Linked DNA regions of Xenopus tropicalis. The protein of the gene in region 2 purifies or fractionates together with the protein of the main gene of each other region. This does not show direct contact. Links are inferred from orthologs where the notes say so. Each region holds a gene or a part of one and is shown on either strand. Other genes may lie near its edges.

Region 1 (4,289 bases), on a different chromosome or scaffold from region 2:
AAGATTATAGATAGATAGATAGATAGATAAATTGATAGATAAAAGATTATAGATAGATAGATAGATAGATAGATAGATAGATAGATAGATAAAAGATGATAGATAGATAGATAGATAGATAGATAGATAGATAGATAGATAGATAAATTGATAGATAAAAGATTATAGATAGATAGATAGATAGATAGATAGATAGATAGATAGATGATAGATAGATAGATAGATAGATAATAGATAGATGATAGATAGATGATAGATAGATAGTAGCAAGCTATCAAGACTTAAGGAAAAATGAGAAACAGATGAAAATAGACAGACATATGGAACAGGGGGCATTGCTTGCCTGAAACCCCCATGCTCAGTTCACACATCACAAACCGCTCCCCCCCCCCCCCCATCTCTCAGTCCACTCAAGCTCTTGCTGCTCATTCCTACCAATCAATCCACCTCTGATTGTGCCCCACCACCCCAATTGCACCCAAGGCACGTGCCTCTGCTGCCTACCCCTATCTCTGGACCTGCAATAAATGACAGATAATATCAGATAATGCAGGCATATCGGGCAGCTGCCCAGGGCCCACGTCTCGAGAAGAGCCAAGATTGTCTAGATTATCTAGATTGTAAGCTCTACGGGGCAGGGACCTTTGACTCTTAACTTATTGCAACTGTATCTTTTATTTATTGTTATACTTTGTATTTATCTCTTATTATCTTAATAACCCCCTGTTTGTATTAATGTATTCTACTGTACAGCGCTGGGTACATAAGTAGCGCTTTATAAAGATATACATACATACAAGGGACAAAGGTACTTCTGCACTATTCAGCCATGAAGCTTGGGGGGGGGTAGGAAGCCTCAGCTAATAGCAAAGGTGGCCATACATGCTAAGATTTTTCCCTCCCTAACGACCAATTTCACATTTAGCGATTTTTCATCCAACATTGGTCAGAAAATCCATTGGGCAGGTTTGAAAGCAATAAAATTTGTCCATTGTCCAATTGTATGCAGGGAAATTGTCATTTTCAAACCTGCCCAACTAAATCTGGGCAAGCCTTCTTATTGCAGCATGATGAGGACAATGTATGGGATAAATATACTGATATTGCGGTCTTTGAAAGGAATAAAAAGGGCCCCAACATGACATTTTCATCTGCCCCATCAACTAAGATGCATCTCTCCCTTCACACATCACTTCATAGAATGGCCCCTCCGCCATACCATTCACATAACATACCCAGCACAGCAAGAAGCAACTATATATGTTGCCTCTGCTTTATAGTGCTTCGGGTAAAACTTTATTGACTTCACAAAAACATAACAGAGTTCTGTTTTAAACTCGTTTATCCGGTATTTTAGCCGTCGCTACCTTTCCTCCTAACCACTCCCCCTCTGGTGTGCGTAATGGTTTGTCCCGAGTGCATATAAAGGGCTGCAAGTTCCCCGCCTTAGCACAGTGCGCAGCGGAGGTGATATATCGTGGTTACTAGGCGGTACTTGGAGAACATCAGTGATACCGCAACATGGCCACCAACGGTAAGGAATTACTTGACGTTCGCCCTTTGTACTCGGCTGCTAGTTTTGATATTTTTGTTTCGCGCTAGTTGGGGGCTGTGTATGTATAGTCGGGCATAGTGTATAGGCTTTAATATTTGTTATATGTCTTAGGGTGCGAAGCAAAGTAGTACTCAGGATTAAGATACGAGATCTGCTCGTTCTTTGGCGCCATTTTGCCTTATGTGTATTTTTCGTTGTTTCTATGTATCCGGTATCGCGGATATGTTACTATGCGTGCATCTTGTAGGCTTTCCCCGTTGTATCGGTCCCGCCGCTTCTTGGCTCCTCCCACCATTGTGCTGAATGCGCAGCTGGCAGCCATTTTGTAGCCGCACTGCGCTGCTTTCGCCATTTTGTATCCGGGCGGGCTGGGCGTGTGGGGCACTAATGCGTGGCATTCTGTCCGGATAAACCTTCCCAGAAAACGAGTGTTTTGTGTAGTAACGTTATAAGAAAAAAATCTTGCCTCTGGAAACCATTATCCGTGGTTTAGGGGGAGGGAATCAGTATATTGGTCAATTGCCCACAGGGCAGAACATGAATAAGTCTCTGTAGGGCTGGTAAATGGCTGCAACACTGCTGCCTGGGGGATCTTTAAGCAGATTTAACTAGTAAAGTAAATTCTTGGCTGAGACATAGGGTAAGAAGCGGGTAGATATATATATGTGTGTGTGTATGTGTCTACATATATATATATATATGTGTGTGTGTGTGTGTGTATGTGTCTACATATATATATATATATAGTATACAGGGAGGAGCACACCCTATACAAGTCCAAATGCCCTTGGTGCAGGTCAAAAAACAAAAATATAATAGAAAGAGTGCCGCACACATAGGGACTTGATACAAAAGAAAAAGTGGTTTTATTGAAAAAATGCCAACTTTTCGAGCACAATCTGTGCTCTTCCTCAGTTGGTTTGTCCCTGAGGAAGAGCACAGATTGTGCTCGAAACGTTGTAATTTTTTCAATAAAACCACTTTTTCTTTTGTATCAAGTCCCTTATATATTATATCCCTTATATATTATATATATATATATATATATATAATATATATGTGTGTGTGTGTGTGTATATAGATAGATATATAGAACAAAATAAAGCACACCCTTAAAGAATTCAAATGCCCAAGGTGCTGGTGCCTGCACACACAGGGACTTTACAAAAAATCACAAATTTATTAGAACAAAAAAAGTCCAACGTTTCGAGCACCTACTGTGCTCTTCCTCAGGGACAAACCACCTATATATACACATATATATATATATATATATATATATATATAATATATATATATATATATATATACCGCACTCGCAGGACTTGGTGAAAAAATAAGATACCTTTATTGTGAAACCACGTCAATCTAACGTTTCGGCCGGATCCTCAGCCTTTCTCAAAGTATATATATATATAACAGTGGGCCGCACACACAGGGACTTTGCTGAAAAAATAATAAATTTATTTAAGAAAAGAAATCCAACGAAACCTGGGTGCTAGTACCAAAAAAATGCACTGGAACAAGGCCGGCACTCCTAATATTTAAAGAATTGTGAGCAGTGTAAATATTGAAAGGTTATTACTCAACGTTTCGGTCTCACACAAACCTTCATCTTCATCTGGAGAAAGCTTCAACCTTCACTCCAGATGAAGGTTTGTGTGAGGCCGAAACGTTGAGTGATAAACCTTTCTATATCTAAATTTTGCTCACAATTCTTTAAATCCTAAGAGTGCTGCCCTTGTTCCAGTGTGTATATAATATATATTTTACCCCGCCCCCCCACCCAGGCTTCTTGTATAGGAAACTATGGACCTCAGTGACCTTGTTGTAGTTCCAAGGCCATTAAAGGGACAATAGAGACTTGTGCCCTGTAATTCCATGCACTGGTCTTGATTTAAGAAAAGATCCTGTTTTAATTTAGTGTTGGGTGTGGAAGGAAAGTTTTCCTCACAGGGATTCACTATTTTTTTGGACTATGGCCTGATAAGACTATAAACTGGCCATACATGGGTAGACTTAAGCTGGCCATATATGCACCAACAATATCGTACAAAACCTCGTTTCGTACAATATTCGGTTTGTGTGTATGGCGGCTCGACGAGGCACCCGATATTGCAAAAGGCTGCGGATATCTGTCGACTTGTTGATCGGCCAGGTTAAAAGATTTGTCCGATATGGAGGTAGAAACAATAGAAATTCTACCCCCTTCTGCCCTGAACTGATTTTGCTTTTGTACCTTCAACGGTACCCAAGCAAAATCTAAGTTCAGGGCAGAAGGGGGTAGAATTTCTATTGTTTCTACCTCCATATCGGACAATTCAGCCCTGAACGTCTGTGGACGATCTTTGGTGCGACCGATGGCATTGATGTGCCCCTGTCTGGCCTTAATTATCCAAATAAGGGCCAGAATATCACAATGTAGTTTTGTATGATATTTGGCCTGTGTGTGGTAAGTTTTGTACGATTTTCAGGCTGTGTGGGCTCTACATTATCACCACAATCATTTTTGTACCATGGTGTTCGGTTGTTTAGTCGATCGGACAGGATAAAACATTTTGGTTGGATAAGGATAAAATCTGTGCATGTATTGTGTATGTGCCGATATCCTTGGGGGGCCTACAATGGGAGTCACTTTCATACGGTTGGTGTCTGCCAACTATTTCATGCCCAGAACGCCCTCTGATATATTTTTAGGATTTTATCCTATAATTTCAATCTGCATGTTCGTTTT
Region 2 (4,229 bases):
CCTCGGCAAATATGCACTACTGCAGTAAACCACAGCAACCATGACTGATTCAGGTAAAGAGTTACTTTTATTACTTTACTTGTAGAAGACTAATGGAAATCCTGTACAAATTAGTTGCAGTGGGGTATGGAATGTGGAGTGGGGTATGAAAACTTAACTCAACCTGCAGATTTAAGGTTGTCATACACGCACAGATATTATCATATGAAACAAAGTTTTGTACGATAATCGGTGTGCGCACAGTGGGAGACAAGGCGACCGCTACTGGTAAAAGCCTTGGATATCAGTTGTCTCACCAAGGACTGAAAATTTTGAAGGGGCCTGAACATTGTAAAGTTAATGCTAAATTGTCAGATGGGGTAAATAATTTCTCTGTTTTTACCTGCATACCTGACGATTCAGCTCTTAACGTTACTAGAGAGGATGAAAAATCTTTCATATGCCCAATGGTTGTGGGAAAAATCGTAATTACCGCGTGTATGCTGCCAATGTATGAGGATGGTCAGGCCATTCCTAAACACCTCTCATAACCTCCCTACTCTTCAAAAGCCCCTTTCAAGAAACCAAATCTGATATTACTCGGAACAGCTACTAAAAAAAAAATTTTGATTGAGAAGAGATGTCCTCATCCATATGCAAAGCAGAAGGAATTTTTTGTAAAGGAAACTCCATTTCACACCCTATAGACAGAAACTCACCACTGGGTTTTAAAGCACAGCCAGGGTAGAAATCCAGTCAGCCTACTGTCTTGGCAGTGCTTTATAAACCCAGTGGGTAAGGATAGGGTATAGAAATTAAGAGCAATCCTGGGCTTCCTTCCCAGAATTCCTTCTGCTAGGGATAACTACACAACAGCATTTTAATTTGGTAGGTAAAATACCAAGCATTTCTTACAGGTACTATATTAGCTAAGTTGACAGCACTTTAGATGAAGCAATATGGAGCTACTAGTAGCAGCTACTTGTCACTGCTACAAAAACAGACATTTACTGATAATCCTCTCTACGAGTGTTTAGCAGATGCAATTCTCAGTATTGTCTATGGTAGGGTATTTTCTGGCATTTAGTAGCGGTGACAAGTAGCTGCTACTAAGTAGTTCTGTGTGTCTTTGCCCTTATCCCATTTGAATAAAGTATAGGCATCATTTTTCTTATCTCCCCAGCCTGTAAAAATGTATATAGTAATAAAGAAAAGGGCTACTAATCCTGCCTCTACAATCTTCAATCCATTGACTAAAGGCAGCCATACATGGGCAGATTTTGGCTTCTGATTCAGCTCCTATAGTCCAAGTTGGTAGCTTATCTGCCCATGGGGCACTCCAATGGGCCTACCTGACCAGAGACCCAGGCAGGTGAACAATTACAATCACTGGGTTTTTAATAAGATAATTGCTTAAACCCCAATCACTTAAACACTAGATACAGTTTCCATGTGTTAAATTTTTTTTAGGGTTGATGGTGTGCTTTTAAAGGACTGTGATCTTAGCATCAAATAGTTCAAAATGAGCACCAGAACTGGGGAAAAAATAAGATAAGAAATGAGGATCAACATCAAGTTATCTTAGAATGCAACTCGGCTTTTTGTTATGTTGACAAAATTGCAGGGGAAGCAACATATAAGAACCATTTAAGATCTGTATGTATTTACATTTAACCAACGGAGTCCAACTTGTGCGCCTGTTATCCACTATAGTACATTTTCAGCGAGCATATTAAATTAAACAATGTCAGGCAGTTGTGTCATGCGCCCATAGGCAGTCAGGGTCTCTCAACTGACAACTAATTTACTTTGTTTAGAAAACAACCACCATAAACAATCAAAAGTTATGGCAAAATTCCTTGCCACATTACCGATAGGTAAATCACAACACAAAACGGTTACTGGAGCTTAGCTCCCTTTATAGTGAGAACAAAAAACACTTTCATTTTAACGCATCATTTTAATTGCTACTAATTAATTAACTGTACAATTAGAAACTGACACCGATTCCAAGTGCCAAGCCAGAAGAGACTAAACTGTGTCTCTACAGCTGCTGCAAAACCTCACATATCAAAGCCCTGTCCAACAAAGCTGGAAACTACATTTTCAATAGCTATGAGTTACATAACATTGCACACTATGCAATATAAATAAGAGTATAAAGGGCACATATATTAACAAATGCAATAAATGACAGCCCATAAAAACTAGCCCGTTTACTATGTTAGTGCCCTAACGCAATTCAGCACCCAAGTCATGGACCTCTACATACACTGAACACAATAGATGCTGCCCATTTAAAATGAATGGCATACACCTTCAAACAAGCTACAATGAACATTTAACCATTCCATATTTTTTCCGGAATTCCATTAGCATTATACATTGTTTTGCAGTGATTTTTTTTATTGAGGTCTGAAGGATAGTATTCATTACTGCGGAATACACACCTAACTGTTCATACAGTTTTACATCTACTCCAATTTAAAACGCAAAAAGGACAAGTACAATGGCGGCGAAGGTTGTCATACTTGGCTGCTATTCAGGTTCAAACATTACAGCTTTGCGGAAACCGTGGCCGGACGCTCAGAAGCGTACGCAACGAGAACAGAGGAAGCCTACTCACCTGCAGAGCTATGGCCCTCTTGCCTCACGCCCGCTGTTACAGTGAGCTAGTAAAATGGCGCGCCTCACGGACTGCGAACCACCGCCTTCTCTATCCCTACTAAGCCAATCAACAATACTGGCCGCGGGGTCCACACCACCAGCTGCCAAGGACTAGCCTATTGCGGGTAGGAGGAGACGAATAAGCGGGAGGGAAGGCGTTACACCTCAGCCAATTGGGAAGCGGAGTACATAATAGGCAATGGCAGACTTATGAAAGAAGTGGTTCGGATTGGTGATTGCGAGAGAGTTTGTAGCTAATGAAATAGCTGCCTCTGGGATGGCTAAGGATGGAAAGGAATGGGATGTGAAGCTTTTCGGGGTGGAAGACAATGCTGCTGGCTTTCAATGAGCTATTGTTTGGACCGATTAATATATATCGCATGTACCAATATAATGTCTGTGCTGCATGTTTAAGTCCAGTTTCGTTTACACACACATATGCATACATATATATGTACGTACAAATATGCGCACTTGCAGTACATTCGGGTACAGCTTAGATGAAAAGATGAAAGGCACGGTTATATGTATGGGTGTAAAACACCAAAGCTGCCAAGGAGAGTCAGTGTTCGCAGCGTTGACATTTCTACTCTGCATATACCACAACTTTCACAAGCAGTGATGCAGTGTAATTGCATTTTTGTTGTTCATATATCATAAATACCAGTATGGGCTCTATTACCCGGAAAGCTTGGGACCTGGGTTTAAAGTAATGTAATGAAAATCAAGATGGCCTCATAATGTGGAGCTTTTCTGGGCATTGGGTTTTCAAATAAGAGACCCCAAATGCTGTTGCTAAAAGCAGTACATTTACAACAGAGGGAACAGTGCTTGTTATACACAAGTTTCACAGAGGAACGTGACACAGGTTATCACATTACATTAGTAAGCGCTGTTTATAGATATAGCTATTAATATCACTCACAATGATCTCTGTGCAGTGTCTGCAGTCATATTAGTCAGTTCCAGTAATTCCAGGGCTGGTGATCAAAATCCAGGCCTAGCCCATAATAACAATAATACAAAATTTGCTAATTGTGACACAAAAGGGGTGGAATTTGAAAACTACATTCTGTGCATTCATGAGTAATATTTACAATTTATATGGATGTATATTTATATGAATATGTTTAGTTATATAGGGTTACTTGTGCCCTGCATCACTATACCTAATATTAGGAGAAAAGACAGATGTCAATATAATAATAAAATATAAATACAAAACATAGGGGCACATTTACTAATCCACGAATCCGAATGGGAAAAATTCGGATTGGAAACGAACACTTTGCGACTTTTTCGTATTTTTTGCGATTTTTTCGTCGCCGTTACGACTTTTTCGTAGCCGTTACGACTTGTGCGAATTGTAGTGACTTTTTCGTAGCCGTTATGATTTGCTCGTATATTGTCACGACTTTTTTGTATTGAGCGCTCGTAAACGGCGGGCAAATCTTTCAGACTTTGCATGATTTTGGAAGCCTCCCATAGGACTCAATGGCACTCTGCAGCACCAAACTGGCCCAAGGAAAGTCACGATACTGAAGCTTGAATGAATCCGAAACTTTTGTACTCAGCGCGACGGC
Region 3 (4,267 bases), on a different chromosome or scaffold from region 2:
ACTCACCGGTGTCCGTCTCACAACATCTGGATGTTCTTGATAGAAATTCTTCTCAAATTTGGGCAGTTCATCCAGGTTCCATTTCTTCTTCATAAGCCGCTCCCCAGGGTTTCCATATTTGCCAGATGTACCACCTCGGTTTCCCCCAAAGCGAGGACCACCTCCAAATCTGAATATAAGACAAAAGGGTCAATGCAAACAATAAGAACCAACTGGGCGACAAAGCAGACTCCTGGCTTGGTACTGCCCTACTGACAATGGCCATGCAGAGCAGGACAATGCTCTCCGATATGCAAGGGGCCATTCATATGCAGTCACTAAGAATACACAGGAAGCTACAAACTACTCTGCTTTAGGGGGAGATCCCACCATTGGCAAAGAGAAGCCTGGGCTCCAAAGCCAACTCTCAGACAGCCCCAGAGTAAAGTTGGCCATACACACACCAACCTTGTTTATATTCGGTGCGTGTATGGCAAGATCGCAGGAGGCTCCATTAAAGACACCTGAGCAAAATCTATTTTCACGGCTGAATCTGCAGAAATCCTATTGTTTCTACCTCTATCGGACGATTCAGCCCTGAACGTCAGTGGAGGGTTGGAACGATCTTTCGTGCGACCACGTGTGGCCAGCTTTAGAGCAGAGACAGCACACACTGATCAGATGCAACACATATCTGGCAGGCAGTATATTTAACAGAGGTGCGGCCCTCAGCTATTCCATGAGCAGGCACAACAAATGGGCACTGCCAGAAAAAAGCATTTATTTTTAGTGCAGCCAATGCCAGTCCTGGTCCTTTACAGGATTCCATCCTGGCACCTCACTAGGCCCATAATCAGACCCAGAAAAGCCATCAGGAAAATGATAATTTGTTTTTAAGTTAGAAGCATCACCTTCCTTCCCATTACTGCGCAGAACCCCAGGGGAGAGAGGCCTATGCAAAATGGCCACTGAACTGTGCTGGGTATATGCCAAGTAGGTTCCCTGAGGGCATGCCGTGCCAGTGTTACATAAACCGACAGAGGGAGGTGCCAAGTGGTTGCCTAATCAGCAGTGCAAGGAGCAGTTGCACCCAGACTGCAGGTACTGCTAGGTGAGAGCTCTGCCCCAGCATGGGGCAACTGTAGGAGAGTCTATAAACCCAGCAGGGATATTCTGCAAGTACACCTTGTTCCTGGTTACAGGCAGACTGATCATACCCAGGGGACACTACACAGATATGCCAGCAGCGTGCCACACAATAGGGCAGGTACTATGGGAATATACCCAGGCAGACAGATGCCACACAATAGGGCAGGTACTATGGGAATATACCCAGGCAGACAGATGCCACACAATAGGACAGGTACTATGGGAATATACCCAGGCAGACAGATGCCACACAATAGGGCAGGTACTATGGGAATATACCCAGGCAGACAGATGCCACACAATAGGACAGGTACTATGGGAATATACCCAGGCAGACAGATGCCACACAATAGGACAGGTACTATGGGAATATACCCAGGCAGACAGATGCCACACAATAGGGCAGGTACTATGGGAATATACCCAGGCAGACAGATGCCACACAATAGGGCAGGTACTATGGGAATATACCCAGGCAGACAGATGCCACACAATAGGGCAGGTACTATGGGAATATACCCAGGCAGACAGATGCCACACAATAGGACAGGTACTATGGGAATATACCCAGGCAGACAGATGCCACACAATAGGGCAGGTACTATGGGAATATACCCAGGCAGACAGATGCCACACAATAGGGCAGTTGCTATGGGAATATACCCAGGCAGACAGAGGCCACACAATAGGGCAGGTACTATGGGAATATACCCAGGCAGACAGATGCCACACAATAGGGCAGTTGCTATGGGAATATACCCAGGCAGACAGAGGCCACACAATAGGGCAGGTGCTATGGGAATATACCCAGGCAGACAGAGGCCACACAATAGGGCAGGTACTATGGGAGCAGTACCAAAGGAATATACCCAGGCAGATAGCACAAGAAGGTGCAACACAATAGGATAGTTGCTATGGGAATATACCCAGGCAGATAGAGATGCCACACAATAGGGCAGTTGCTATGGGGGAAGTACCAGGGGAATACACCCGGGTAGATAAACAGCTGCCAGGATAAATAGCGACAAAGGAAGATAAAAGAATAAAGCGGCAGGGAGAGGGGAGTGAGGCGGCCCCGGGGAGAGGGGAGTGAGGCGGCCCCGGGGGAGAGGGGAGTGAGGCGGCCCCGGGGGAGAGGGGAGTGAGGCGGCCCGGGGGAGAGGGGAGTGAGGCGGCCCCGGGGAGAGGGGAGTGAGGCGGCCCCGGGGAGAGGGGAGTGAGGCGGCCGGGGAGAGGGGAGTGAGGCGGCCGGGGAGAGGGGAGTGAGGCGGCGGGGAGGCGGCAGGGAGTGAGGGCAGTACAAGTACGGAGGGCAGTACAAGCGCCAGACAAGGCAATAGAAGGAGAGCCCTTCCCCCCCCCGCCGCCATTTTGTGCAGAGACAAAGAGCCGCAACTGGTGCCTCCGCCATCTTGTCTCGCCGAGCCCCGCCTCCCGGGAGCCGAACAATACAATCCATCGCTCGGAAGCCCCGTTACTCATGGGCCCCCCACACACACACATCCCATAATGCCTACCTACCGTACCAGCCGCCATCGGGCGGAAACATTAAGCCCAAACAAACTCCCCACTGGCCTCTGCCAGAAGCTGCCGGCACCTCACGGGGAGACCCCCGAGTACGTACCCCCTGTCCCGGGCGCGGTCCCTGTCGTTGAATCCGGGCATGGCGTTACACAAAGGGCGTTCCGGGAGCGGCTGTACAGACGGGAGGGCTCGGCAGGAAGGGAAGTAACACGCAGCGCGCACACACCTTATATAAGGCCGGCCGGCAACTGACGTCACCATATTCCTCCGCGGGGCGGGGCCTTGACCTACCGCCGCCATATTGCTTCAGGGAAACCTGTCCAACAAGTAGAAAAACCGACCAGCCGCTCGGTGTTAACCTTTTTCCTGGCTTCCGCCCCAACGATATTGCAAACTGAACCGTGAGCGTGGGGCAGCGGCTGCTCCCGCTTTTGTAGCGGGATATCGACCACGTACTGGTAGCGGGACACCGGCCCAAAGTAAAGATGGCGGCAGAGACTAAGCGATGTGACCATGTGACCGGCAATGCGCCTTTTCCCGGAATTTTATTATCTGTGGCTCATGTTAGTCAGTGTGTGTTGCGTGGGATGAGGCAAGGCCAGTAAGGCTGTGTTCCCTTATTAGCCCCGCCAGGCACACCCAATGGGTACAACTATATTGCCTCATACATATACGGGCTACATACAGTCCCCATTAGTAAGTGCTTGAGCCTTCCCGCTCAAGGTTTTGTTCCTACTGCTGAGGAGCCCTGCCAATTCCTCCCCACTGTGTCCCTGCCACTTCCTCCCCACTGTGTCCCTGCCACTTCCTCCCCACTGTGTCCCTGCCACTTCCTCCCCACTGTGTCCCTGCCACTTCCTCCCCACTGTGTCCCTGCCAATTCCTCCCCACTGTGTCCCTGCCACTTCCTCCCCACTGTGCCCCTGCCACTTCCTCCCCACTGTGCCCCTGCCACTTCCTCCCCACTGTGTCCCTGCCACTTCCTCCCCACTGTGTCCCTGCCACTTCCTCCCCACTGCCTGCCCTCCACTTCTCCCCACTGTGCCCTGCCAATTCCTCCCCACTGTGTCCCTGCCACTTCCTCCCCACTGTGTCCTGCCAATTCCTCCCCACTGTGCCCTGCCAATTCCTCCCCACTGTGTCCCTGCCAATTCCTCCCCACTGTGTCCCTGCACTTCCTCCCCACTGTGTCCCCTGCCACTTCCTCCCCCACTGTGCCCCTGCCAATCTCTCCCCACTGTGTCCCTGCCACTTCTCCCACTGTGCCCCTGCCAATTCCTCCCCACTGTGTCCCTGCCAATTCCCCTCCCCACTGTGTCCCTGCCAATTCTTCCCACTCTGTCCCTGCCAATTCCTCCCCACTGTGTCCCTGCAAATTCCCCCCACTGTGTCCCTGCCAATTCCTTCCCCACTCTGTCCCTGCCAATTCCTCCCCACTGTGTCCCTGCCACTTCCTCCCCACTGTGTCCCTGCACTTCCTCCCCACTGTGTCCCTGCCACTTCCTCCCCCACTGTGTCCCTGCCAATTCTCCCCCACTGTGTCCCTGCCACTTCCTCCCCACTGTGTCCCTGCAATTCCTCCCCACTGTGTCCCTGCCACTTCCTCCCCACTGTG

Evidence for each region.
Region 1: the proteins of hnrnpr (region 2) and fus purify together in Homo sapiens (affinity purification with mass spectrometry; 4 studies listed by BioGRID and IntAct, with this or other methods). This does not show direct contact. The link is inferred for Xenopus tropicalis from reciprocal best matches to the Homo sapiens genes HNRNPR and FUS.
Region 3: the proteins of hnrnpr (region 2) and ddx5 fractionate together in Homo sapiens (co-fractionation; 3 studies listed by BioGRID and IntAct, with this or other methods). This does not show direct contact. The link is inferred for Xenopus tropicalis from reciprocal best matches to the Homo sapiens genes HNRNPR and DDX5.

What each region holds. Positions count from the first base shown.
Region 1 is NC_030685.2:6,034,286-6,038,574, reverse strand, and holds the start of fus (RNA-binding protein FUS), read left to right. Parts: upstream 1-1,478; 5' UTR 1,479-1,521; coding exon 1,522-1,534; intron 1,535-4,289. UniProt on the Homo sapiens protein: DNA/RNA-binding protein that plays a role in various cellular processes such as transcription regulation, RNA splicing, RNA transport, DNA repair and damage response. Binds to ssRNA containing the consensus sequence 5'-AGGUAA-3'.
Region 2 is NC_030678.2:82,773,222-82,777,450, forward strand, and holds the start of hnrnpr (heterogeneous nuclear ribonucleoprotein R), read right to left. Parts: upstream 2,804-4,229; 5' UTR 2,606-2,803; intron 1-2,605. UniProt on the Homo sapiens protein: Component of ribonucleosomes, which are complexes of at least 20 other different heterogeneous nuclear ribonucleoproteins (hnRNP). hnRNP play an important role in processing of precursor mRNA in the nucleus.
Region 3 is NC_030686.2:51,533,107-51,537,373, reverse strand, and holds the start of ddx5 (probable ATP-dependent RNA helicase DDX5), read right to left. Parts: upstream 2,812-4,267; 5' UTR 2,794-2,811; coding exon 2,753-2,793; intron 170-2,752; coding exon 7-169; intron 1-6. UniProt on the Homo sapiens protein: Involved in the alternative regulation of pre-mRNA splicing; its RNA helicase activity is necessary for increasing tau exon 10 inclusion and occurs in a RBM4-dependent manner. Binds to the tau pre-mRNA in the stem-loop region downstream of exon 10.